2 linked regions of the Sus scrofa genome follow. The protein of the gene in region 1 purifies or fractionates together with the protein of each later gene. This does not show direct contact. Links are inferred from orthologs where the notes say so. Each region holds a gene or a part of one and is shown in the gene's direction. Other genes may lie near its edges.

What was found. Proteins that work in one complex are often made in the same cells at the same time.
Region 2: the proteins of PAK2 (region 1) and GIT2 purify together in Homo sapiens (affinity purification with mass spectrometry; 3 studies listed by BioGRID and IntAct, with this or other methods). This does not show direct contact. The link is inferred for Sus scrofa from reciprocal best matches to the Homo sapiens genes PAK2 and GIT2.

Annotation. Positions count from the first base shown.
Region 1 is NC_010455.5:133,377,058-133,387,364, reverse strand, and holds the start of PAK2 (serine/threonine-protein kinase PAK 2), read left to right. Parts: upstream 1-3,858; 5' UTR 3,859-4,201; exon of another isoform or gene 4,202-4,430; intron 4,431-10,307. UniProt on the Homo sapiens protein: Serine/threonine protein kinase that plays a role in a variety of different signaling pathways including cytoskeleton regulation, cell motility, cell cycle progression, apoptosis or proliferation.
Region 2 is NC_010456.5:40,991,951-41,002,219, forward strand, and holds the start of GIT2 (ARF GTPase-activating protein GIT2), read left to right. Parts: upstream 1-4,039; 5' UTR 4,040-4,192; coding exon 4,193-4,244; intron 4,245-8,609; coding exon 8,610-8,743; intron 8,744-10,269. UniProt on the Homo sapiens protein: GTPase-activating protein for ADP ribosylation factor family members, including ARF1.

The DNA of each region.
Region 1 (10,307 bases):
GGTTTATTTTTCTCAAAGTATCATGTAATGTTCTTTGGATGAAAATAACAGAGACATATGCTCCTTCAACTAAGGGTGGTGGTGGGGGCAGACTTTGTTGTGTGTGTGTGTATCTCAGTCATTTACCAGAAACTTAGATTATTTAGCTACATCTAATAGAGGATAGTACATGTATGGCTTGGGAACTGGGAATGTATATTTCTGCTCTAATTATTTCAGAATATAATGAATTCAAGGATTATTCTAGTCAGATAGTCTATTCATTTCATGACACTCATTTATATTTTGATGATTGATGCTAATTGCTATGATATGGAATCAAAGAATTTATGGTGAGGTGACCTCTCTGTGACCTCCCCCAAACTTATAAAACATACTACTGGCAGGTAATTGAATATAGGATTTGGGTAAGTTGAGAGAATGAAATAATGTAGAGTAAGTATGCTCTTCAGGATTGTCCTAGTCAGTGATAGGATGGTAGGTTTAGCCATCTCTCTGATTTCTTGCCCCTCAGACATTACTTCTGGGATTACCGTCTTCCTGAAGTATATCTTTTATAGATGCCCCTTCAGTAACTCCCTGTGGTTAGTAACATCTCTGCTTTTGTTTGATGATATCTTTATTTCACCCTCACTTCTATGACTGATAGTTTAGTGAGGTATATAGTTCTAAGTTTATTTTCTCTTGATAGTTTAAAAATATTTTTCCATTGTCAGATGGTACCCATTGTTGCAGTTGAGAAATCTATGCTAAATTTAATAGTTGTTTCCTGGTAAGAGATGTCTTTTCTTTCTTGTTTCTTTATCTTTGGTATCCTGCAGTTTCACTTTGTTGTATTTGAAAAGATTTCCTTCACTTATCCTGGTTGAGATTCACTTTGCCTTTTGAATCTGAAGGTTCTTGCCTTAAATTAATTCTGGAAAATTCTCTGCCATTATCTCACCATAAACTACCTCTTTTGATTTTCCTTTTCTCTCTTACTTGGGTTTCTCATTAGGAATGATGGAATACCTTCACAATCTAACCCACCTCTCAATCTTTCTTTCATATTTCCTTTGTCTCTGGGCTGCTATCAATAATTTCTTTAGATCTAGCTTCCATTTTACTAATTCTCTCTTCAACTGTATGTAATCTGCCACTTAACCCAAACATTGACCTTGGTTTCAGTTATTATATTCTTTATTTCTCGAAGTTCTGCTTGGCTCCTTTTCAAAGCTCTTTTGTCATTTAAAAAAATAGTGTCTTGCTTTCAGAGTTCCTGCTGTGGCTCAGCGGAAGCAAATCTGACTAGTATCCATGAGGACACAGGTTTGATCCCTGGCCTCGCTCAGGGGGTTAAATCCAGCGTTGCTGTGATCTGTGGTGTATGTCACAGATGTGGCTCAGATCTGGTGTTGCTGTGGCTGTGGTGTAGGCCAGCAGCTGCAGCTCCGATTTGACTCCTAGCCTGGGAACCTCCATATGCCGTGGGTTTAGCCCTAAAAAAAAGTGTCTTGTAAAAAAATAAATAAAAAGAAAAAAAAAAGAAAATGTCTTGTTTCTTATTCCTGTCTTACTTTGCTTAATCATTTTAAGAAACATTGGAATTATAGGTTATGGAATATAAACTATCTAAAGTTCATGGGTGTCATTATTCTGTTTATGGTTTCTTTTGATTCACTCATGGCTGATTTTCTCAGATGTGTTGTCATTATTTTTTGGATGTTCATGTTTAACTTTTTCTTTTTTTCTTTTTTGGCCACACCCATGGATTACGGAAGTTCCTGGGCCAGGGATCAAATCTGAGCCACAGTTGTGACCTATGCCATAGCTGTAGCAATGGTGGATCTTTAACTCACTGTGCCACAGCAGAAACTCCTTATGTCTAACTCTTGATAGCCTGTTTATCTCTGGGAATCCTTTCAGTTCTGGATTAAGAATGAGCCTGTGCAGTGAGAATTTGTATTTGTTTCTTCCAGACCTCTCAGCATTACCAGCCTGGGACACTTTCTTGACTTGAGGTTTCCCAGACAGTGTAGGTACTGTAAATTTGACCTTTCAAATTTGAATTCCAAAGGGTAATTTTTTTTTTCCCTTTGATGCCAAGTCCAGACTAAAACACACAGATATCTGCATGTCTCCCTGGACTGGTACAGGGGATTTTTTTTTTTTTCCAGTCTATTCTTATTTATTTATTTATTTTTATTTATTGTCTTTTTGACTTTTCTAGGGCTGTTCCCTCGGCATATGGAGGTTCTCAGCTAGGGGTCAAATTGGAGCTGTAGCCGCTGGCCTATGCCACAGCCACAGCAACACGGGATCCGAGCCGCGTCTGCAACCTACACCACAGCTCACAGCAACGCCAGATCCTTAACCAACTGAATAAGGCCACGGATTGATCCCACAACCTCATGGTTCCTAGTCGGATTCGCCAACCACTGAGCCACGACGGGAACTCCCTTCCAGTCTATTCTTGGAGCATATAGCCCTTTGAGTTTTCCAGCCTTGTGCAGGATTGCAGTCCCAACTCCTTGAACAGGGCCAAGGCCTTGTCTTTGGTCTCTTGTCTCTTGTGCAGTCAGTAAAACCATGGAGATTTGAGATAAGTAGTTTCTTTCAACACAACTTTGGCTTCACTGACATGCTTACCCCTCCAATTTCTTGCTCTCCCTTTGGGTTGAGTGGGAGTTTGGAAATCTGTCAGAGGTACTTCTCTTTCTTAAAAGCTTAGTTATGCCTTTGAAAGGATGTTCTCTTTTATCCAGCAATGTGTTTTTAATAGTGGGGGCTGTTTTTCAAGTTATCTAATAGTGTGCCATATTGCTCCTTGAATCTTTTCTCTCGTACTTTCCACATCAGTTGAGTTTTTTGCTTCACATCTATCAAAAGAACATACCCATTCTCCATTTTCACTGCTATCTCTTATGACAGTCATGATTACTGCCTCCTTTCTTCATTCCCTTCTATTCTTGAAAACCCAGAGTCCATTCTCCATGTAGCAATCTAGTGACCTTAAAGTATAAACCAGGAAACCTTCCTTCCCTGCTTACAGCTCTTTAATAGCTTGTTGGAATAAAATCCAGCCTTCTTACCATGTCATTCAGGATCCTCTCTGACCTGAATCTTGTCTCCTCAGGTGTTTTTTCACACTGCGCTACTCTTCTTGCACTAACTCCAGTTACACAGACCCTCTTAACTGACCTTAGAAAGTCCCCCCCCACCTCCTTCTGCTTGTAATGCTTTCTCCTGGGAGTTTCTCATGGCTGTCTCTTTCTGTTCTCAGCTTAAATGTCACCTCCTTAAAGATGCCTTCTCTGGCCAACTTATCCAAAGAAATCATCCTAGTTTTTTCTTCATACCAGGTATCACTATTTTAATTATTGTGTTTTCATATTTGTAAGTTACACAAAGTGACTTGTGTTCACCCTTGTATTCCTGATACCCAGCAGTGTCTGGTACAAATTAGACACCAAAATATTTGTAGAATTAGTGAACACATTGATGAACTCCTCCTCCTCCATGAATAAAACAGAGGCATTAATTTGCAAGGAGGCGCGACTTAATTTAGCACCAAAATACATTAATAAGAGTTGTAGGTAAAGGGCAAAATGGGTAACGGATGAATTCCCAGAAACAAATGTCTTAGAGCAGGTTCATATAATAACAGTTGTCTTTCAGCGTCTTTGGTTGGCACAGACCTGAGTGGAGACAATGCTGAATTACACGAGGCACTGGCTGTCTCTGTCAATAAAAAGAATACTAGAGATGGAGGGAGGGAGGAAAAGAAGAGAGATAAGAGGCACACATCTCTAAACTACAACTCCCAGCAGCCTCCGCGTTTGCCTGCCCACTGGGAGGCGGTGCCTGTCTCCGCCCGGTGGAGCTCCCGCCTTCGGCCCCGCCCCTGCCCGCTCCCCGCCGTCGCCCTCCCCCAGGGTTGTGGCCACGCGCAGCGGCAGCGGTTGTTCCGCTTCCCCTCTGGCCTGGGCCGTCGCCATTGCCGAAGGCTCCCTGCCCTCCCCTCCCGGCGCCCGCGGGGCTCGGCGGCCGCCCGGCCTAGCAGTAGAAGCCGCGGCGCTCCAGCGCGGCTCCACTTCCCGCCCCGCTTCCCCTTCCCTCCCCTCCCCGCCCCGCGTCGCTCTCTTGCTCGGGGCGGCTCCTGATCCCGCCAGGAGCTCGGCCGGAGGCTCCTCGCTGGGGCGGGGACCTTTCCTCGCCTGGGGTAAGTGTGCAGACAGGCCGGGACGCGGGCCGTCGCTCTCCTTCCTCCTTCCTTCTCCGCGGCCTGGCCGGCGCGAGCGGCCCGGGGCAGCTGACCTGCCCCGCGCGGGGCCGGGAAGCCGCCACCTGCGTGCCTGGAGCGGCAACTCTTGGGGCGGTGGCTCATTGTCTGCGCCCTCGGGCTGTTTTCTTCTCCGGTTTTAGCCTGAAATGGGAAGCTTGCTAGGCTGGTGAGTTCTGACTCTTCCTGGACCCGGCCCTGCCCTGAACCGTGTCGCGCCAATCTCTGCTCTCTGTCGATCTCCCTTCCCTCGCGTTTCAGCCTTCTCTTTTTCTCCATTTACTTTAGTGTTCGACTCACCGTTTCGGGGTTTTTAACTCGATTTTTTGTCTCTTACCGAGTTCCAGCCCCACCTTGCTACCTTTGGTCATCCCAGTTTCATTGCTTAGGCATATTGTCTGTAGTCCCCTTACTGGTTTCTAAACTGTAATCTGTGATATCTTCCATATTCCGGATCAGTAGAAACTATAGTTTTCCGAGGGTTTGAGGGCCTCCGCTTGATAACTGAGCTTTCGTATCTTCTCGTGATTCTTTGATCTTCAGCCAGGAGATGAATATTTGCTTCCTTAGGTAACTTAGGTGAAGGTTAGCTTTCACCATGTTTGGCTTTCTTTAAAATAACACACACATGCAAAACGGTACCGAAAATTCCTCAGCGGACTCAACTTTTTGACTAATTCTTTAAAGATAGAGTCATCCAAGAACTGAAGATTGGAAAGCAATTGCCATTGTTGTCAGTTGTCGTGGGGTTGTACCCGTCCTTGTCTCTTATCTTTAATGGAAACACTCTGGACAGTGAGAGCGTGATTTCTTTCCTCCTTGATGAATAATGCCAACTCCCATTGGTATAATTATCACAGTTTTGTCTTACAAGTGATCTATAGTTTTTTGTTTTCTTTTTAAAGCTCTGTTAAAAGACAATCAAAATGGTTAGGCCTAAAATTAGACTACGACGAGCAGTGTTTTGGATCAAGGTTGTGCACGTCACGTTTTTTCCCCTCCTCTGTTTGACTCTTCCGCTCTTGTAAGTAGGCAGGATATTGAAATGTAGAAGAATTTGCTCTGGGGGTTTGTTTTTGTAGGGTTACTCAAAAGAATAACATTAAATAAAGTTAGATTGTGATGAAGGCAGTGAATAGTAATTTTTAAAGCAGGTTAGAACTTGTCAACTTTGCCAGAAGCTCTGCGGCATTTATAAAACACACTTATAATAACTTCTACATGTTTTATATATGTGTATTTAAAAAATATGCATGTGAATGAAAAGCTTTGTTCATGTTCTTCTGCTAAGGGTATTGATTTAAGGCAACTCCTTTCATCCTTAGCTTTAAAATCTTTCTGGTTATTAATTAGCCCAAAACACTGACTTACGTTATGAAAAATGCACCTTAAGATGTTTCTGACCTGTAATATATGGAGGTATTAAACCCCACTTTCAGGTTTTGGTGAAGGAGGTTGACCTAAATTCAGTGAATTTTGTGTTTTCACTAGTTTATTGTTACCTAAACGACTTAGTCCTAAGCTTCACTATTGTCAAATTGGTGGTGTCTGTTGTCCTTACTTCAGTGACGTGCCTTGTTGGCCTAAGGGGTTAAGGTATGGAAGTGCTGGCGTGTGAAACAAGGTCCATTGAAGTCAGCCTCTCTGCCAGTTCTTTCTGTAAGCAGATACTTTTACTTGGGAAGAGTTCTGGGTGTTCTCCCCTTAGGTTGGGGCCTTGATTCCTAGTTTACTTTACCATTATTCAAAGAGAGGGTTATTCTTTGGGGCTTTGTGACATTAAGTACTAACCTGGGAAACCCAAATTCATAAAGTAAGTTTGTGGTAGGAGTCTGTCCACAAAACAAATGAATAGGGGTTTCTTTGGTTTTCTCATTTCTATGATAAGCAGATTTCCAGTAGACATGGTCATCAGTGATATATATGTCTTCTCAATTACACTTTTTTAAAGAGAAAACTTAGAACTTGTCCAAGTGGCTAAGGATAAACTTTCAATTATTTTAAAAGAGAGACCTTGTTCAGACAGCTAGGGATAAAATAAGTAGGTATTAAATTCTCCCCATGTTTAATCTGTCAATATTGATTAACCTAATATTTGAGTGTAACATTTCTTTTGGCTTTCTGAATTGTCTAGTTTTGATTAAAAACGTGAAACTGTGCCTTGTTCAAGTCTTTAAGAATTTGGGGTTCTGATCAGTTTTCAAAAGGCCTTCCAGTTAGAGGGCTAATTGCAGACCACGGGGCAGGGGGGAGAGGGGGTGTTAAGGTGCAGATCTGGGTTGACCCTTATAACCTTCTTGTACCTTGGTAGAAACAGAAAGAGGTGGAAGAAAATAGCCCCTGTTGCCTTAAAGAATTTTGTTTTCTTCTGGGAACGGAGTTGAGTCTCACTGCTTCTTCATTTTAGGATCACTAACCTGAATAAGAATAGTCGGTCTGAACATTCAGGCCAGATTTCAGAGGCCTAGCCTATTATCTCTAAGGTACACTAGTACTTACCGCTCCGTGTATCACAAGTGCTTAGGAGCTGGAGACCATCCTGGCTCTTCTGCTTGACCCCAGGCAAGATACACACATCTTTTTTAAGATGTGTGGGGTTTTTTTAATATGTAAAGTGAGGATTAATAACAGTATAATACATCTCCATAGGGCTATTTAAAGCAAATGATATAATGCAGGGAAAGTACTTAGCAAATGCAATGCTTAAATGCTTAATAGATGTTAGTTAATATTCCATTCTAAAGTAGGTTTTATATTTAATTGCTTCTACAGCAAATATCATACTTCCAAACTTAAAGACTGCTTTCTGAAAGTGGTTGGAATCTCAGGGCCGAGTTTCTGAGACCATAACTTTTACATTAAAAATTACTTTTCAGGAAAAAAAGAAAAGTTTCACTGTTGAAATAAAATGCAGATTATTATTATTTTTTTAAATGGTCACATCTGTGGCTTATAGAAGTACCTGGGCTAGGGCTTGAATCCAAGCTGCAGCTGTGGGATCACTGCATCCTTTAACCCACTGTGCTGGGGCCGGGGATTGAAGCCTTGCCTCCGCAGTGACTCGAGCCGCTGCAATCAGGTTCTTAACCCACTGTATCACTGTGGGAACTTCAAAATACAGATTTTTGAATACATGTTTCTCAAATTTTAAAATAAACGTCTTTCTCATAGAAAATTTAGCAAATAGTGAAAATTATTAAGAAATAGGATAAGGGAGTTCCCATCGTGGCTTTGCGGTAATGAATCTGACTAGGATCCATGAGGATGCGGCATCCATCACTGGCCTCGCTCAGTGGGTCAGGGATCTGGCATGGCTGTGGTGTAGGCCAGCAGCTATAGCTCCAGTTCGACCCCTAGCCTGGGAACTTCCATATGCCACAGGTGTGGCCCTAAAAAGCAAAAAAAAAAAAAAAAAAGAAAGAAAGAAATAGGACAGAATTACTATACAAAAATCAGCCCCCAGAAATAACCACAGACTAGAATAGTGTTGTTTTCCTTATTTTTAAATTAAATTCTAAAAATAGTCAATATATGCTTTTTACAAAATGTTCAAGTCAGTTATTTAGAGTAAAAAGTGAAAATTAATTAATTTCCTTGCTTTCTAGTCCCATTCCTTACAGGTACCCACTGATAACAATTTTGTTTTCTTTATGCAATTAGAAATAAGCACTGTGTGTTTGTAGTTTTACCTTGTTTTTTTTTAATGAAAAATCTAATCATTATAAATACTTTTCCATCTCAGTATATGTAGTTATACCTCATCTTTTTTTTGTTTTTTACCTTATCCATCATACGGTTGTACTTAATTATTCATGGTTATTTGTTATTTCCATTTTCGAGCTACTAAAACCACAACTTTAATGAACTTCCTTATACCTTTGTGCACATGCATATGTATACAAGTATTTCTATGAAGAGGTGTTTTTTTTTTTTTTTTTTTTGGCCACCCTGTGGCATGTGGAGTTCCTAGGCCAGGGATTAGGTCAAAGTTGCAGCTGTGACAACTCTGAATCCTTAACCCACTGTGCTGGGCTGGAGATGGAACCTGCATCCTGTTTCCCAGCACTCCAGAAATGCCACCCATTCCGTCACCACAGTGGGAACTCCCTTAAAGGGGATTCTTAAGTGTGCATTTTAAGTTTTGATAGATGCCAAATTTCCTTCCTAAAAGGCTGTACTAATCTATACTTAATTACGTTGCAGAAGGCCTTTACACATAGTAGATATTAATCCTTTGTTTTCTGTTTAAGATCTTTCCCATTTTGCATTTATTAAAAAAAAAAAAAAAACAGTTTTCTGGGAGTTTCCATGTGGCTCAGCAGGTTAAGGAGTTGTCACTGCAGTGGCTCGGGTCTCTGCTATGGCACTGGTTTGATCCCTAGCCTGGGGATATTCTGCATGCTACAGGCATAGCTAAAAAACAAACAATCTTATGTTTTCTTCTGGTACTTTAATAATTGTTATATTTGAATTTTAATACTTATGGAATTTGTGTGTGTGTGCATGGTGAGTTAAGAGTTTTTAAAATATAAGATAGCTGGAGTTCCTGTTGTGAGGGCTCAGCAGAAATGAATCTGACTAGTAACCATGAGGACACAGGTTCAATCCCTGGCCCCGCTCAGTGAGTTAAGGATCCAGCATTTCCATGAGCTGTGGTATAGGTCGCAGACTCGACTCGGATCTGGTGGTGCTGTGGCTGTGTCGTAGGCTGATTTGACCCCTAGCCTGGGAACCTCCATATGCCATGGGTGAGGACCTAAAAAGACAAAAGACAAAAATGAAATAGTTTGGCTATTGAAATAAAATACAGGTATAAAAATATTTTAGGAGTTTGATATAAAAAATAGCCACGTTATAGGAATTCAAAGAGGAATATTTTAATGGTTTTATTCTAAGTATCTCATCTGAAATGGGGAAACATGCCCCTCTTTGGCTCCTATTTCTTGTCATCTACCTAATTCTTAGCCTTCAAATTCCAGCTTTTGAGTATAGCTTTCTTTGGGAGTCTTTCCTGATCTTCACTATGATTTAAATATTCTTATTGCTTTTATATGTTTTCTTAACATGTTGATTCATAATCTTTATTTGCAGTGTGCTGAAAGAATGAGTTATTCTTCTGGAAATGAGAGTTATTTCTCAATTTTTGTCAGCGGAAACTAATTGAAAGGAAGATGCAAAGAACTCAGTAGTGTTGATTAAAAGTGATACGTATATATACATATACATACAGGGCTCTTTTAACCTGCATTTCTGAGTCCTGCCTTACATCTTTCTGATCAAGTTATTCTGTTACCTTGTAGGTAATTTTTTTTTCATGTAAATTTTTATAGGTTCTGGAAAAATAGAAGGTTTTGTTTTGATCTTGCATTTATTTCTTAAGAACAAAGTCTTTTAAAGTATAATTTCAGCTTTTAAAAAATTAATTCCTATTCCTTTTAATTTTGAGATTATTTCATAATTTATAGGCTTAGAAGCAAAAATGTTATGTAAGAAACATATGAACAAGAGTTGGGGTAGGAGTTCCTGTTGTAGCTCAGCAGTGATGAACTTGATGAGGATGCGGGTTGGATCCATGGCCTCCCTCAGTGGGTTAAGGATCTGGCCTTGCTATGGCGTAGACCAGCTGCTACATCTGGGAGCTTCCATATGCCGCAAGTGTGCCCCTGAAAAGAAAAAAAAAAAAAAAAAAAAAAGGAGTTGGGGTAAAACTCTTTAAACACAATTTCAGATGCTCTAAAGAGCACATTATTAAAGAATAAAAAGTGGCACAGTGGAAACGAATCCGACTAGGAACCATGAGGTTGCCGATTCCATCCCTAGCCTCACTCAGTGGGTCAGGGATCCAGCATTGCCTTGAGCTGTGGTGTAGGTTGCGTTGCAGATGTGGCTTGGATCTGATGTGGCTATGGCTGTGGTGTACACTGCTGGCACCTGTAGCTCTGATTTGACCTCTGGCCTGGGAACCTTCATATGCCACCAGTGCTGGCCTAAAAAGTCAAAAGTCAAAAAAAAAAAAAAAAAGAAAGCAAAAGTAAATACATAAATA
Region 2 (10,269 bases), on another chromosome or scaffold:
TAATGCAAGATCTGAGCTGCTCTGTGACCTACACCACGGCCACAGCAACGCCAGATCCTTAACAAACTGAAGGAGGCCAGGGATGAAACCTGTGTCCTCATGGGTACTAGTCAGATTCGTTTCTGCTGATCCATGATGGGAACTCCTGGTGGTTCTATTTTTAGTTTTTGAGAAAGCTCTGTACTGTTTTCTACAGGGGCTACACTAATTTACATTCCCACCAACAGTGTACAGGGTTCCCTCTTCTCCACATGCTCACCATTTGTTATTTGTGTTCTTTTTGATGAGAATCATTTTGCCAGGTGGGAGGTGATATCTCATTATGGTTTTGATATGCATTTCCCTGATGATTAACAAAGCTAAGCATCTTTTCATGTGCCTGTTGGCCATCTGCATTTCCTCTTTAGAAAAATGTCTATTCAGTTCTGCCCATTTTTTAATCAGTTTGGTCTTTTTGATGTTCAGTTGTATGAGATGTTTATACATGTTGAATATTAATTCCCTATCAGTCATATCTTTTGCAAATATGTGTCCTGTTCAATAGATTGTCTTTTCATTCTGTTGATTGTTTCCTTTACTGTGCAAAAGCTTTTCAGTTTAAGTAGGTCCCATTTGTTCATTTTTGCTTTCATTTCCTTTAGGAGACAGATCCAAAAAAATGTTGCTGCAATTTATGTCGGAGTGTCCTGTCTATTTTTCCTCTAGGAGTTTCATACTATCTTGTCTTACATCTTACATTTAGGTCTTTAATCCATTTTGCGTTTTTTGTGTGTGTGTGGGTGTGTTTGCCATGCCCACAGCATGTGGAAGTTCCCTGACCAGGGATCAAACTCACACCACAGCAGCAACTGGAGCTGCTGCAGTGACAATGCCAGATACTTACTCCGCTGTACCACAAGGTAATTCCCAGTTTATTTTTGTAGATGGCGTTAGAGAATGTTCTAATTTTATTATTTTACATGTAGCTGTCCAGTTTTCCTAGCACCACTCTTTTTTTTTTTTTTTTTTTTTTTTTTTTTTTTTTTTCCGGCTGCTCCCTCAGCATGTGGAAGCTCCTGAGCCAGGGATCGAACTTGCACCAAGAAGAGACCCAAGCCACTGCAGTGACAATGCCAGATCTTTAGCCCACTGCAACACAGTGGGAATTCCTCCTAGCATCATTTATTGAAGAGACTATCTTTTCTTCATTGTATAGTCTTGCCTCTCTTTTTTTTTTAGGGCCGTACCCATGGCAAATGTAAGTTCCCAGGCCAGGGGTCAAATCAGAGCTACAGCTGCAGGCCTACACCACAGCCACAGCAATACAGGATCTAAGCCGCATCTTCGACTTACACCACAGCTCACGGCAATGCCAGATCCTTAACCCACTGGGCGAGGCCAGGGATCAAACCCACAACCTCATGGTTCCTGATCAGATTCATTTCCACTGTGCCATGATGGGAACTTCCGTAGCTCCTTGATTCAATGAAGAACCAAGTAAACTTACATCTGCTCACCAGCCTGAACTTTCTGCACAGCTGTCTACTAGATCATATAGCTAGGCAAAGTTATTTAATGCATTCTGAAAGCATCCTCTGCCTTCCCTGCTTGTGAATAGCCAGCTTTTCAGATGCCTACAACAACAGCTGTTCAAGAATTCAGGCTTAATCCATTCTCCACAGGTGTTGAGTCCAGAAGATTTGAGAATACATGAAGCAAAACAGGATGTAGAAGCATCAGGATGGCATCCAGAGGCTTTAGCTATGGAATGTGTGGGAAATATATGTTAATGCACACACCACTCATTTATAAAAATGGAGAAATGAAACAAAGACCCATGCTTTTGACATCTCCTTCAGGACTTCCTAACCTTTAAGAAGATTTATGCAATTTAATCTTTCTCTTCATTGTCTCATGCTTATCTAATCTCTCTTAATTCATTAGTTGGAGAACTTCACAATGGCTGTTCACCAGAGTACCTAAAGTCAAAATAATACCTGGCCCGGGAGTTCCCCATGTGGCTCAGTGGTTAACGAATCCGACTAGGAACCATGAGGTTGTGGGTTTGATCCCTGGCCTTGCTCAGTGGGTTAAGGATCCAGCGTTGCTGTGAGCTGTGGTGTAGGTCGCAGACCCAGCTTGGATCCCGTGTTGCTATAGCTCTGGTATAGGCTGGCGGCTACGTCTCCGATTAGACTCCTAGCCTGGGAAGCTCCAAATGCCACAGGAGCGGCCCTAGAAAACACAAAAAGACAAAAAAAAAAAAAAAAAAAAAAAAAAAAGACCTGGCATTGCCTTGAGCTGCGGTGTAGGTCACAGACTCGGCTCAGATCCCGAGGTGCTGTGTAGGCTGGCAGCTACAGCTCTGATTAGACCCCTAGCTTGGGAACCTCCATATGCTGTGGGTGGGGCCCTAGAAAAAGGCAAAAAGGCAAAAATAAATAAATAAAAATAAATTAAAAAAAACAAAGCAAAACAAATACCTGGCCCATGATAGGCATCGAACATTTGCTGAATGGAGATCATAGTTGGGTTTACATATAATACACAAAATATTCATTAGCATTAGGGTCACACCTCTGCTCTCTATCACACTGATTAAACTCACTTCATTGCGTTTATCTCATACCATCCTGTATATTAGGTTATCTATCGTTATCCTCAAAATTGTGATTAAGAAATAATAGTAATATCAAATTCCAATAATAACAGAGGCTACTTTTTTTTTGCTTTTTGCTATTTCTTGGGCCGCTCCCGCAGCATATGGAGGTTCCCACGCTAGGGGTCTAGTTGGAGCTGCGCCACCGGCCTACGCCAGAGCCACAGCAACGTGGGATCCGAGCCGAGTCTGCAACCTACACCACAGCTCACAGCAACGCCGGATCGTGAACCCACTGAGCAAGGGCAGGGACTGAACCTGCAACCTCATGGTTCCTAGTCGGATTCGTTAACCATTGCGCCACGACGGGAACTTCAAGAGGCTACTATTAATGAGGGTTCACTCTGAGGCAAGCATACCACACTCTTCTGTGAATTATTCCATTTGTTCTTAGCCAGACAGTAAATATTTAGCTATACGTTTCATATATGAGTTTTGTTAAATATTCATCCTTTCCCTCTTCTCCTTCCTCTTTACAATCCTTCAAAAATGTAAAAATTAGGAGTTCCCTGTGTCGTGCAGTGGAAAGGAATCCAACCAGTAAACCTGAGGATGCAGGTCTGATCTCTGGCCTCGCTTAGTGGGTCCGGGATCTGGTGTTGCTGTGGGCTAGTGGGTAGGTCACAGGTGCAGCTGGGATCCCGCATTGCTATGGCTGTGGTGTAGGCTGACAGCTGTAGCTCCAATTTACCCCTAACCTGGGAACCTCCATATGGCCTAAAAAACAACAAAACAAGTAAAAATTAAGAGTTGATGGCCGAGCAATTAAGGACTCAGTTGTCACTGCTGTGGCTCGATTATTGCTATGGCTCCAGTTCCATCCCGGCCCTGAAACTTCCACATGCCAAAACACAACAAAAACAAAAAAATAAAACTATGAAAATCATTTTTAGGTGCAAGCCATACAAAAGAAAATTGTAGGCTAGCGGTAGATACACATTATCTTCCTCTAGCAGATTATATTAAAACTGCAGCATAAGGAAACACATAATATACCCTTATTTTACTTATTGTAGATCTAGCACAATTGAATGTTAGCTCCATAAAGACAGGAAATTTTGTCCTCTTGGCTCACTACTCTTTCTTCACTGCTTGGAACACTGTGTGTAATTTGCTGAATAAAGGAAAGAATATATAAATGAACTTGGCCAAAGTTATGCGAAATGACTTGACTACTGATTACCTCAGGCAGGTTGCAGCTGCAGACTTCTGGTTACTAGATTTGGTATTAATCAGTGCTGGGAAGAAGCGAATTTCTTCTGGAGAGGGAGACAAATTACAGAAAATTTGGAAGCAGGACGGAAGATCCTTGCCCTCACTCAATATGGCGACAGGGCAGCGTGCCCTTTCCGGTCACATGATCTGCCTATTGCCAAAGGGTGCCTCCCCGCGCGTGCGTGCTGGGCCGCGGCTGCGAGGCGCTCAGGGAGAGGCGCTGCCGCCAGCGCCGCCGCTGGGACCCGTTAGAGCGGAAGCGCCTCCGCCGCCGCCGCCGCCGCCGCCGCCTTCGCTGTCTCGGGGCCCCAGGTTCCCGGCAGGTGGGAGGCGGGAGCCATGTCGAAGCGGCTCCGGAGCAGCGAAGTGTGCGCTGACTGCAGCGGGCCAGGTGAGTCTCATCAGCCGGGCCCGCTCCCCTCAGCTCTCCTGGCCAGGACCCCTGCCCCGGGGCCGCCCCTCGAGCCGGGCGGGTCCCGGCAGTCGACCTCTGCATCCCATGCCTGGGGTCACGACGAGGAGGAAGGGGGGCGGTCTTGGGGCAGAACCTGCCCCTGGCCTGTCAGAGCCGGGCGGGCAGGGGGCCGCCGCCCTCCCGCCCCTCCTTTCCCTTTCGTTCACTCTGTCCCAGGCCGTCCGGGGAGGCGGTGGGGTCGGAGCCGCTTTCCTAACAGGAAGGGGCTTGGGCAATCCACAGGAAGGCCAATTACAGAAGTAAAATGCGAGCGTCTTCCCGGCTGCGGCCCCCAGAGACTGCAGGTGTCACCACCCCCTTCCCACAGTCACCCAAGACCCCCGTCCCCGGAGGCGCCCTGCTGGTAGTGGGCGACGCTCACCCCTTCCCTCCACTGAGACTCGCCAGAGGACCCCCATGGACGATTTCGCCATTTCTGGCATCCCGACTCCCGCTCCACGGCAGAGAGTCTCCAGGATGTCGGGGTCTTGCAAACGCCACCTGCACTTGGGAGGCAATGCTTGGCTCAGGTTCTGAGATCTGAACCGTCTGAGTTCAAACTAGATGTTCCCTCTGGGTGACCTTGGGCTGGTGACTTCATTTGGCCGAGTCTTCATTTCCTCATTTTTCCGATGGGGATAATGGGGAGTATGGTGCTTAGCGGTAGGGAAGATTCAGTGAATATTCTTAGCATCATCTCATTTAAATTTTTTTCCCCTATTGTGTACAGAACCTTTACAGTCCCTTAAAACTATAGTTGAATTTCTAAATCATGCATTAATTACAGCTTACAAAACCAACACACACCACATCACTGACAAGTAGACCCATTTGGGCATTTAGGCAATATAGGCATATGGCAGCACTGAAAGGCCAAAACTAAACCTCCCATGTGTAGTTTTCGTCTTAGCAGTTGGAACTGAGTTGACAGGTCTCTGTACTGTTCTCAGTGCTTGTATTTTTCTGCTTTGAATTTGAAGTAATTCAAAAGGTAAAATGGCACCACAGCATCCAGTAAACAATCTTAATGAAACCATTGCGCACCAGTGTTTTTGCGACTGTTCCAAACTTTGTCTTGTCAGATGGAAGTGGAGACTGATTTTTAAATAGTACTATGATAATTCAAACCTTATGTGGTTATTTCATGGCCTCTATAATGTAAGTGGGGTTACCGGTTTCCTTTGAAGATAGGGAGACGGGTGGAGGAGTTTAAAAAGAGGTGTTTTAGAAACCAAGTTAATGTGTTATACAAACTCCATCGTATTCTCTAAAAATGTTATTTGTTCCACTTCCTTATTTTCTTGCCTCTTTTCGGTTGAACCTTCTGTGATGTTTGATTCTTATGAGTCTAGATTCAAACTTCCTCTTGAAATGCATTTTCTGTGCTTCTCAGTGGGTGGTATGAGGCAAAGGAAAAACTGCAGCTCCCTTGCTACACTAAACACTATCTTGCACCTCTGCAGCATTTTGTGCATTTCAGAACATTTTCTCTTCCATTGTTTCATTTTAGTTGTTGTCTCATATGCCTAATCTACAGAGACTTGAGTCACTTCCTTCCTGTTTTGAATATAATTAGGCTACCTTGAAATGTTCTGAACTTGAGCAGCCAGGAATTTGTGCTGTCTTTTCTGCAAAGCCCTATGAAAGTTACCTTTAGGGTTAGGGACCCCTTTGAGATTCTGATGAATGCTAAGGCCTTCTTGCCAGAAAATGCACACATAATTACTCTTTCACAGAGAATTTATGTTACGATTTTTCAGTGGAATCATAGACGTTTCTGAAGCCCATTTGTTGTCTTCTTAGAAGCCAGGTTAAGAAGCCATAGCATAAACCGTTCAGATAGACTGGAAGGGGTTCACCCAGCCTCTTGCATACAAACTCAGTTTGGATTTTACTGTGTTGTTAACATGGGATTCTGATTCATGACGTTAAGGTGATTAATAGGGAAACTTTCTTAATGTGTGTTAAATCCTTGCTGTTTTGTACCTGTTTAATTTCCTCCAAAGGAGATTGTGAATCTTCAGAATGATATGTGAAAATCAAAGCTAATCTTCAAAACAAATAGTCTTTTTGTATGTGTGTCATTAGTAGTAGTACCATACTGCAAAAAGCATTGTTCTAGGAGTTCCCTTCATGGCGCAGCAGAAATGAATCCGACTAGGAACCATGAGGTTGCAGGTTTGATCCCTGGCCTCTCTCAGTGGGTTAAGGATCTGGTGTTGCCAAGAGCTGTGGTGTAGGTGGAAGACGAGGCTCAGATCTGGCATTGCTGTGGCTGTGGTATTGGCCAGCAGCTGTAGCTGCAATTAGACCCCTAGCCTGGGAACCTCCGTCTGCTGCGGGTGTGGCCCTAAAAAAAGACAAAACAAAACAAACAAACAAAAGCATTGTTCTGTATCTTTGTAGGGATCCTTCATCTTGATGTTTCCACCCTTTGCCTTTTTTTTGGATGCACTGGTGCCATGTGGAAGTTCCAGGGCCAGGGATGGAATCTATACCACAGCAGCAACCCAGGCCGCTGCAGTGACAATACCTATCCTTAACCCACTGAGCCACAAGTGACTCCCCAATCTTTGCTTTTTAGAATGGCAGACAGAGTTGTACCTCACTGAATAATTTTGTTTCTGTCTTATTTCATGGCAAACATTTGATAACCATGATCAAATCTTAATAACTAGTTTTACCTTTAAAAAAAATGAATCTAGTTCATATCCTTCTGTGAGTTCAACTACCTGAAAATTCCCCTGAGATTTTTCACTATAGTAATACAGTATTTGTGTGAAACAGTCAGTGTTTTAAGTATTAACAGTCAAAACCTTTTTCCAATGGTCATGAATTTCGTTGGCTTTTGAAAATATTTGAATGGTACTTACCAAAATGATTTAGAAACGTTGTAACAGCTACCATTACGGAGTACTTCCTATATGCAAGGAATTTTGCTTGTTCTTTATATCCTCACTACCCTGGATTGTGTTGTTCCTCCAATTTGATCCATAATGAGGACTCTCAAAAAGAAATAACTTGCCTGAGATCATTGTGCAAGAAGTGGCAGAGTTGGGGTTCAAACCCTGGACTGCTTGTCTCCAGAGCCATCCCTCTTAACCACTACACTCTCTGACTCCTGATTTGTCTTTGATTGAAATCCCATAACTTTTCATTTTATGGCTAGAAAGGGTTTGAATAAACTGTTAAAAATGGTAAAGATGGTGTACATGCATTTTCGAGATTTTTGTGGACATTGAAGAATTTTTAAATATAACCCTTAAGCCAGGCAGCTTGAGCGGCAACTATTGTCACTCCATTGTGAGTCTGATGAAATGTAGAAGGTCTGTCTTTATTTTGAATTTCTAAGTGTCTAGTTTACTTCCCCAGTGTGAATTATTCATACTGCTTACCAAGTGTGAATTATTCCTTGTTTCAAAGGATGTCTAATGAAGCTCTGTAGGACTTCATAGGAAAAAAGTATTATATGCACACCAAAAGTATTACTCTAGGGAGGTCCCTGGTGGCTCAGCAAGTTAAAGATCTGGCATTTTCACTGCTATGGTGTGGGTTCTATCCCTGGCCTGGGAACATTTGCATGCCTTGAGCGAGGCCAGAAAAAAAAATCACTCATTTGTATTTTACATCTTTGCCTCTGTGAGGCTGCTGTTTTTACAACTTCTGTTACTTCAGATCAGCTGTGAGATCGGACTCAGTAGTTTATTTACAACTACTAATGGATATCATAGCACATTTCTTACGGAGGAGTCTAGGTTTCTTAGTCTGTCTTCAGAACCACAGCAGTTGAACAGTTTTATAGTCATGTATGCTTGCAGCTTTCTGCTAAGCCCAGAGGCAGGTAGATATGTAGCATGTGTTAGGGTAGCCATCTTTTTACTGCTCTCTTCACATGTCGCTCTGCGGATTGTCACTGACACAGGTATGTTATCTTGCCATTTGTGGAGATGGATTCAAAATGATTCATGTGAATGCTCTCAACTTGCTTCTTTTACACTGAATGAAAGAGCACACATCTGTGATGATAGATCATATTAGGGTGTCAGATTGTGGCCTTGAACCAGAGAGGAGAGAAGTGCTTATTTAGGGCTGTAATCAGGTTTTCAGTCTCAGTAGATTTGTGCCCCCAGCCAAGGCAGGGGTTATCTTCAGACAGGCTCACCAGCTTGATATGCTGACTAGCATACTAAAACAACAAAGATGTCCTGTTTTTCTGAAAAACCAAATCTCAGTCATCTTTTGCCATCTGGCGGTATAGCAACCACTTGGTATCCTTGCCACTGATTTCATTCTTCTTTCCAGATCCTTCCTGGGCATCAGTAAATAGGGGAACTTTTATATGTGACGAGTGCTGCAGTGTCCATCGGAGTCTAGGGCGCCATATCTCTCAAGTAAGGCATCTCAAACACACACCATGGCCTCCAACATTGCTTCAGGTAAAGAATAAGAATTCTTCTCATGTTTGTAATTTACATCTTTAGGGCTCAATGTTTTAGCAACTAAAATTATACTTCTAAATCATAATTGAATAGAAGTGCCATGCTTATCAATGCTATATACAAGTATTAAATTCATCATTTAAGATTCTTTTTCCCCTCCTAATGTAAATCTTGTCCCAAAAACTCAGTTACAGGCAGTCATTAAAATTTCTTGCTTATGTTTCATTGCTGACTTTCTAAAATGTCACCAGAAGTTGTTTTTAAAGCCCATCTTTTCCACGTACCATGATCAATGTTTCTTAAAGTGACTGCCCTTTGAAACTTTTCATTGTTTCCTGCTTTGATGGAAGCATGGACTGGGATTCCTCAGAAATTTCTGAAACATCTGATTTAGGTTTTCTTAAAGTTCTTATAACTAGTTAGAGACAATTAAGTTATGTCTGGATTGAATGTCTAACACCCTGCTAAGTGTTAAGTGGGCTCTTTGTTTTATTTGGGGGTCCATTGTCATGTCACCTGTACTTCTATTTTGGGGTACACATTCTTCAAGTTCTGTTGGAACTCAGACTTAAGCATGTGTTTCGCCTTCATTTGTCTTGAGGACATATTTTACTGAATCTGTGGCAGCTGCACAACACATCCCTTAAACTTCCCTATATGAACCAAAGGATCGGAGCAAGTGAGCTTGGATCTCTGATGTGACAGATATCTCCGCTAATGTAAAAAACGAGGAGTAATGTCAGGAGTCATGCTTTGAATTGAAACTGGGCGATACGGCTTATTAATAACTTTTGCTAAGAAGTTTCTAACAGCTCATTCTCATGTGAAAATGGATGTTTACTGCTCCCAGATTATACAGAGTACAGATTATATTATAGATCTGAATAAAATCCAGAAATGAGTAGTTTAAAATGCCAGAGTTGGAGCTCCTGCTGTGGTGCATTGGAATAGGCAGCAGCTTGGGACTGCTGGGACTCAGGTCCAAGCCCGGCACAGTGGGTTAAGGAACTGGCATTGCCACAGCTGCAGCTTAGTTTGCTGCTGTGGGTTAGATCTGATCCCTGGCCTGGGAGCTCCCTATGTCAAGGGGAGGCCAAAAAAAAAAAAAAAAAAAAAGCCAGAGTTGACCCTAAAGCAGTTCCCAGAAGGTGGCATGTGAACACCAGTGTTACTCAAGTTAGATGTAGGTAATACTCAAATATGTATTTTAATGGTTGCATAAAACTATAACTAGCACATCAAAGTATAATTGCTAGGGAAAGTTTTAGAAAGTAAGTGGGTTTAAAGAAAAATAATAAGTGGATAGTCTAGATGGTACCTAGGTTTTTAAGTAGCTTGAAAACAGTATTTGAGTGCTCAGGCTTGGGAAATACTGCCCTAATATGTCAAAGTACTCTTTTTTCATCATCTATGAGAAAACATAATCAAACCTCTATAAGTATTTAGCTGTCCTACTGGTCAAACCTGAATCCTGCATACAGGTTCATCTTTCTCATTCTAAATTCAGAAAATACTAATGTGCG